2 linked regions of the Tribolium castaneum genome follow. The protein of the gene in region 1 binds, or shares a complex with, the protein of each later gene. Links are inferred from orthologs where the notes say so. Each region holds a gene or a part of one and is shown on either strand. Other genes may lie near its edges.

The links.
Region 2: gamma-tubulin complex component 2 (region 1) and nmdyn-D7 share a complex: the UniProt entries of both Homo sapiens proteins name them as parts of the gamma-tubulin ring complex. The link is inferred for Tribolium castaneum from reciprocal best matches to the Homo sapiens genes TUBGCP2 and NME7.

What each region holds. Positions count from the first base shown.
Region 1 is NC_087402.1:3,136,431-3,140,357, reverse strand, and holds the start of gamma-tubulin complex component 2, read right to left. Parts: upstream 2,691-3,927; 5' UTR 2,567-2,690; exon of another isoform or gene 2,488-2,566; 5' UTR 2,451-2,487; coding exon 2,398-2,450; intron 2,346-2,397; coding exon 2,169-2,345; intron 2,122-2,168; coding exon 1,509-2,121; intron 1,463-1,508; coding exon 1,334-1,462; intron 1,288-1,333; coding exon 1,111-1,287; intron 226-1,110; coding exon 51-225; intron 3-50; coding exon 1-2. Other genes in the region: post-GPI attachment to proteins factor 2, read left to right, coding at 2,860-3,286, 3,339-3,539, 3,587-3,720. UniProt on the Homo sapiens protein: Component of the gamma-tubulin ring complex (gTuRC) which mediates microtubule nucleation.
Region 2 is NC_087396.1:11,132,961-11,136,887, forward strand, and holds the start of nmdyn-D7 (nucleoside diphosphate kinase homolog 7), read left to right. Parts: upstream 1-1,096; 5' UTR 1,097-1,111; coding exon 1,112-1,118; intron 1,119-3,515; coding exon 3,516-3,927. UniProt on the Homo sapiens protein: Possesses an intrinsic kinase activity. Displays 3'-5' exonuclease activity with a preference for single-stranded DNA. Does not seem to have nucleoside diphosphate kinase activity.

The sequences.
Region 1 (3,927 bases):
GCCTGGAAAAAAACTTGGCGATTGATTTTTACGTAAATGAGTCAAATTACCACACTGTCGTATTACGTTCAAGTATTTTCCAGCTTTTAGAATTATGTCCGAGACTGGCTCTAAAAATTTCGGGATCTTTTCCCGTTCTATTGAGTATTTTTTATCCCAGTAGTCGGCTGAATAATCGACCGGCATGTCTTCCTTCTGGATGACTTCATTGTCTTTTACCAGAAACTAAAAGTCGAAGTAAAAGTTTTAACTGCTTTTCTTTGAATTCTAGCTTAATAATTACGTTCATTTTATTTACCAGCTTTAATCAATCACACATTTTTTTTAATTAGAAAGTTGTTACGCGATTATTATGAAAACAATTTTCAAAATATTTCCAAATTCCGTTTATTCGATTGCCAAACAATTATAAGAAGATAAGAAAAACAACAGTACTTTAGACTTTTTTTTTATTTTTCTTTGTAAACAAAACCACGCAGGTGACTTCAAATATCCAAAAATCGTGAGAAACAAACGCATTTGTGGCAGTATTTTTTTTGTTCTAATTATTTTTTTTTCATCGTAAAAATAAATCTGTATCAGAGTGTTCATTTTTTTCAGAAAATAAATAGTAATTAAAGCTAAACATTTACAAACGGCATTATTTACAAAAATTGTAGATGTTGAAATTTTAAAAGCTCAGCTTATGAATAGTCATGACAAAAGATAATATTTCACGCTTCTATCTTCATTTTCTTGGTAAACAAAGCCAAGCAAATGACTTTAAATATCCAAAAAATAGTGACGAACAAATAGTATTTGTGGGACTTTTTTTTTAACGACACAATTATTCAAAAAAAAATCCAGAATGGCAGTGCATCAATTTTGATCACTTTCACCCTAAAACAAAAATGTTTTTCGACTAAAAAACATACTTTTCTGGAAATAATTTTCAATAAAGATAAAAAGTATTTTTTGTTTTATCATTTTAAATATTAGTTATTATGTTATTAATAATACGAGTGCGAAAACACAAGCTCAACACACAAAGTTCGAGGGCTGACGTATTGGAAAACTTCAAGCGTTTTTGTATGAGTGTTACTCAATTTTTTTTTCTTTTAAAAATGTTACCTCACTGATTGGATCAGAAATAATTCCTCTGTAAATCCACATTCCCAACATTTTCATATACGGAACACACGCAGCCTCCATCAGACTAACACAACGTTGTTGTGTCCTTTCATCACCAATTGACCCAATTATGTGATCATGTAGCAAACTTAAAACTTTTCCCCCTTTGGCATCCGACTATAAATTACAAATTAAATTTAAAAATAAATTGTCACGTAGTTACTTTGCTGATCTTAGTCGCAATGTTTGCTGTAATGCCAAAAGGCTGCAACCGCTTCTGTACATAAAACCAAAGTTTTTGCAAATTTAAGTTATCAGCTTCAAATTCATCCTGAAGTTGGGTGACATAAATCTGAAAAACAACTTTGCAAAGTCGCTAATTGTGGCCTTCAACTTACTAGATGTTCTTTCAAAATCGCGCTCATTTCTTCAGCTAAGGCGTTATTAACTTGCCCAAACTCAAACCTCAACTTTTCTTCGGCAAACCTCTGGATTAGCGAATAATGACTGGCGATAGGCAAGATTTGTTTAACAAGTTCTTGCAGAGGCAGAGGTACATTATCGTTTATTTTAAAGGTTCTAGGGGCGTAAGGATCATTCAGCTCCTCTGCTTCGATGTAACAGCCTGGTATACCAATTAATACAACTAACAGATCTTTAATCAGGATGTTTTCTTGAGACACAACTGGAACAGCTGGACAAATAGTACTACAACTTTGCGTTGAAAAATCGCAGGATAAAGTCGGCCGTCTCTGGACCCAAGACGTAACAGAAGGGGTGCTAGCCCTCGGAAGATTAGTACTAGTGTTGAGAATACTGCTTGAAGAACACTCTTTTTGCGACCGTTTTAAAGCCTCCCGACGTAACCGATTCCTAACTTGTGGCAAATCGTCCCGCGTTATTTCGGTTTTTTGCTCCGAATGCTTATCCATTTTACCTAACAAGCTTCTAACACTACTATCTTGAGATATGTGATACAGAAGCTGAACGTACGGCCCTAAACAATCCACACTGGAAATTTCACGTCAACTAAAATGCAACCAGTCACAAGACCTCACTTTTTCTGCTTTAGATCTTCAAATTTCAGTAGAAATGGTTCCGAATTTTTCAAATCTTCGGCAATACGTTGCACGTAACTCTGTATTGCCACTTGTGAACCTGAACATTCCTTGCCGGTGCTACTGCTGATACTTTTTTGTAACGCTTCTACAAGTTTTTCGGGGGGATTTTTTGCACTATATGGACAAGAATTAGGTTTTTTGAAGCGAAAACAACACGTGTACGCACCCCAAACAGTTCAAAAGTTCCGCAACCAAGTGCTGGAGCTTAAATTCGCTCATTTTGCCGATAATACTTGTCAAAAACAATTAACCTAACCTAAGAAACATTTGAAATCAAAAACAAGATGAGCGCGTCGATTTTTCAAAATTGGTGTATTTTTGGTTGACTGACTTACAGGCGTTTCAAATCAATAAAGGTTGAAAAACTGACGAAAAAAGTACCAAAAGGGTGCTAAATCAATTTTTAATACTTCCATAGCTCATTTTGGATAATTTTACATCATAAATTGGTGTAATTCGGGATAAAATTTCGCGTTCAATACCTAAAACCACGCCCATTTGGTGTTCGTCTCAATTCGCGAGATTCCGGATCAATGGAACAATCAACAAATCAAACAGCTGATCTAACCTAAAATGAATTAAGTTAAGTGAGTTTTTAAATCTAATCTAGCGAAGTGTGTTTCGAATAATGCCTAATGAAGCTCGGTATGCGTTACTATACAGTGATTACGAAACTTCCACAGTTTTGCGTTTGCCTTTTGAAAAATTTTCGATTATAACCGTGGGTTTGCCGTTGTTTGCTTTCCTGTTTTGCATTATTTATTCGGTGATTTTTCATTTCGAAACCGCCACTTACACCCATTGTCAAGTGTTTAATGTTTTACCGTCCATTTCTGCGGCTATCGGAAATTTTTCACCACAACGACAAGTCTGGCAAACGGCTATAGTTTTACATGCTGTGCCAAGATTCTCGATTGCCTTTGTTTACCTCCAACACCACCAAAACGTTTTATACCAAAATGACCAATGGATGGGGGCCGTCGCATGTGTTCTTAATGTTGTTGAAAACATTTCGTTGATTATACTGTCTTTTTGGACCTCATCTCAGCACTATCGTAAACGTTTTTTACGAGAATTTTCCCCTTTATTTTGTTAAAAATGTTTTAGCTGTTCATGAAAAAGCCTTCATCACCTTTATATTGATGTCGGAGTTTTATATGATTTTAATTTACATTCTCCAAAGACGTTGTAAAAAGCGCCACAAAGAAAGTCTGAAATGGAAGAAAAGACTACTCATCACAAACATATCATCTATTTTAGTAGCAACGTATTGCTTTTTAAGGCACAACTCATATTGTGAGCCTTATGGTAAGTAGTTACTTTTTTTAATGCTCCTTTAATTTTCTGCATTTTAGTATATTCTGGTTTTGCCTTGGCAGAATATACAGTAGTATTAACAAATATGGCGTTCCACATGACTGCTTATTTAGATTTTAAAAATAAAGATTTGGTGGTCTATAGGTACGGTGTTGCTTTAACAGAAAGATAATATTTAGTTGTATAGCTAGTTATACAATAAATTTTTCGTTGTGTAGGAAAGTATCAAATGGACATACAGATTGTATATTTGTAATTATTGCCCACACACCAAAACGATATGTATTCGAAAATTTTACTTTCTGGATCTTCAAAACGTATAACTTTCCCAAAAATGGCACTTACAGATTTTAGATTGTAAATTGTAAGTTCGTGATCT
Region 2 (3,927 bases), on another chromosome or scaffold:
CAGGCATTGCCGATTAAATATTTATGTGAAAAAATAGAAATGGAGGTAAATAATTGGGAATAATTTATTAACTTCAGCCTTATTGCTACAATAATAAAATATTTACACATACGATATTGGTCATAATTTAGGTGAAGCTTTTGATGTTACTATTTTTATTTCAAGAATTCAATTAATTTATAGCAGGGCAAGTTTGATGCAAAGAAGTGCAAGAGAAATGAGAACCGTTTATAAATTCTGAAACTAACTTGAAATACTAAAATTGTTTTAATTATTTGAAACAATTTAAAGTAAACGTTATTTTAAAGATTGGAAAGGTCTTCGGCCATTCAATTTACGGTGAAGCATTGTAAAAACCCGCCCTAAATTAAATATCCTAATTAGATTTTGCGTCTATAAAGCCCCGCATTATTTTTAATACACGTTTTAAGTTCAGGAAATGGAATGAAATGCGTTTGATACCAAATAACGCACTTTATCGAAATTCGTTTTTAAATAACTTTTTCAGCAGTCTGAGCGTAAATGGGTTTGGTTTCAGAAGCCGCTGGGGAGCAAATCGAGTCACTTACCGGTACAGATGGTAAATCCAGGTTCCGGAGGCTGGAGTTGGTTGCAAAAGCACAACACGAAGACGACTTCGTATAGCTGGTGGCCTACGTTATATAGCACCTGTGGACGCGGCGGGCGCAGCCACTTTACGCTGCCACTCAGGTTTCGGGGGCGGCTTCAGGTTAGTGCGCCACTGATGAATCGGGTATTTCCCCTGAGAGCGCACTATTTAACGGAAAGATTAGCGATTTTTGCGTGTTGTTTGTCACTGATAGCGTAATTATCATCCAGCCGAGGGAGATTTGTTTGGTTTATAAATCGGAGCTAATCGAAACCTTTTCAATCATTAACGGAAAACATGTTAATAACCGGCGAGTGTGACGGGACCATATGTGGACGCGGTCTTTGTAAATTTCCGAATTTTATCTGATTAATGTACTTTGGGTTGTTTACGAAAAATACGTCTCCTGGCCGCAAATTACCAGCTGCGTTGGTCAACGTGATGGAGGTTTTATCTTTAATCTTGGATTATCTAACTTTTTATTTTTTCCTTCAAATATTCATGTTAAGTAAGTGGGTTTTTTCCCTTTAAATTAATCCACTAAGCCCCAAACGTCGATTTACCCTTTTTAATTGCCGCACTGCTTCTGCTACCCTTTTAACATCAACTTCACTTCTTCTTGAAACACCCTTGTTAAGGCTTTTGTCTAAATGCTTTTCATAAACATTCGGATCCCTCTAAGGCATCGCTTAATCTATTCGATTCTATTGGGTTTTCCTCATTTGACACCGACTTAATCACTGTTGTGTGTGAGCAGAATCTGCATAAACAACCACGCTGTTCTAACGAATTTTTCGACAAATTGCTAGGTAGCTAAAATTGTGATCCCTCTCGTGCGTAATTTGCCATTCGAGAAGTATATGAACTTCATATTTGAACAATTTTTTTGGGGCAGTGGAAATGTCGAATCATCGGTTGAATTTTAAAAAACATAAAAACAATATTTTGTCTCCATTGGAGCGTGTATTATTTACTTCCAGTAGTAAATAATATATTCCTTATTTTGGTGCGACGCAAAATTTAATAAATACTTTTATTATCAATAATTTTTTATAGTGTTGATAATTTTTAATTATAATTGATTAAGGATTTTAGACTTGTTTTTTATTTCTTATTTATAAAATTCATGTTATAAATAAACTGAGAATCACACGTCCAATTTCTACTCCATTCAGTTTTTTAAAGTAATAAAGTAGAAACGGGAGTAATTAATCTAAGTTTGTCTTACTCATTTTCTTGGTAGTAATAAAGTGCAGTAGTCATACCTGAACATAATACGGTTATTGCAGATATTTCCCATATCATCGCTAATTTTTTGATTAATGTATCTTCTGACATACACATCTACTAGAAATTGTTATAATGAACAATTCAAATCAGAAAAGTCTTTATTTGTTTCAACAGATGACACACTAAAATATAATTCCCGCTTAATTAAATGGACAAAACGCTGTATAAATTTGTAATTACGAGCTGTTAACCTCTTGGTATTTTGCTTAGTGGGTCAAAAGTTTTATTTTTATCTAATTAGCCGGAACAGTAAGGAATAGATATGACTGTACTCGTAGAAATGCATTCTTGTGAGTTTAAATGTAATTGCTCTATCTATTTTTAGGTAGCAAGATTAATAATACACGCTTTTTTACCAAGAAATTTTTCTTCTGAATTATCGTGGGCTGACTGCACAAAGTGACCATGTCAGAAATTAAACCTTTTCACGGCAAATTCAGTTTAAACATTAATAAAATACTTTTAATAATGAATTACAGAATAAACTCAAATAAACTAAATCGAAAAAAGAAAACTTTTACTAATTTGCAAAGTTAGAATTGACAAAGAGATTTCAATTTAATAAATTTTCTTTTTTTCAACCGTTTAGCGAATCCGTCTTTGATCGTTTTTTGGGCGTAAACCGTAAGACAGAGAATGACTTACTATTTTTTGTATCAAAATTCTCTACAACTACCTTTTGTACATTTTTCTTGCATCTTTAACCGCATTCCCAGCATTTTGAAAAATATTGTTAAGATTTGTTAATTTTTTTGTTTTTTTTTTATTTTTTAAACTTAAAATACCGAGTTTGAAACCGAGGCGGTCTAACGTGCCCTTGTTTTGAATCCGCTGTACTAAATTTTTCGGTACAGAAAAGTTTTGAACTTCGCTTCCCTCCCTAGTAATTGTTAGTTTTTCACAGATTTGGTCAATTTTTTAGGTATCTCGTAATTCACTCAAGTTTTATAACAATAATTACTGAAGTTAACGATTTGTGCATTTCGTATGTAAATGCAACAATTCGTATGAAATACCATTTCAAATAGTATTCTTTTGAAGCTGAGATTCCTTTGATTGTTTTGATACCGGACATCGATAACTCCCACATAGATTTACGGTGGAATGGAAGATCTGTGTCGAAATATAAAATTCCACTTAATTCTATAAGTATTGAAAAGACAGTCCACAATTTCATTTATAAAAAAAGCAAAGAAAAATGAATATTTTCAGCAGACATCGAAATCAAATTAATGCAAAGATAGTTTCCTGATATTCAAGTGAAGAATCGTATTTAAATAGTAATTAGCTTGTTTGCATATAAATCTCGCATTACATGACGCATTTCTGAAATTTATTATCAGGGGGTTGTAACTCTCCGATTTAAAACTGTAGGTAAAGTTTCATAAATCGTTATTTGTAAAATGTTAGTAGGTTACACATAAGCAGATTACAACAGCTCCAACCCGGAATAAAATAGTAGATAACTTCAGGGCTTATTGAAAGTGAAATATTTTTCCGCCTATAAATAATTTACCACGAAAGAGGGAAGTTTAAATTGCTCTTCTTCGATAAATTTTAAATAACGCAACTAGTATTTCATTTGACGTGTCTGTCACGGCCTTTCACATTCCAGTAAATCCGACAATGTCATCATCGTTCGGCACCGATTACGGTGATAAATTATCGTTCATAGCCGAATGGTTCGACTTCGATTCGGCCTACCAGAAGCGACTGCTCCTGAATTACTACCCCGTCGATAGCACGGTCGAGCTCTACGACATCGACCTCAAGCGCCCCTTCCTCAAGCGCTCCTTCTACGAGTGCATCAGCCGCGACGACGTCTTCGTGGGCAACAAGGTCCGCATCTACGACCGCCAGTTAAAAATCGTCGATTATGCCGATTGCCGCACCAAAACAATCATCGGCAACACGCGCCAGCACACCTTCGGCGTGATCAAAGTCAGCGTCATCGACAAAATCGGCGAGATTTTCAACCAAATCCAGGACCGCCACTTCGAAATCATCAACGTGCGGATGTGCCGCTT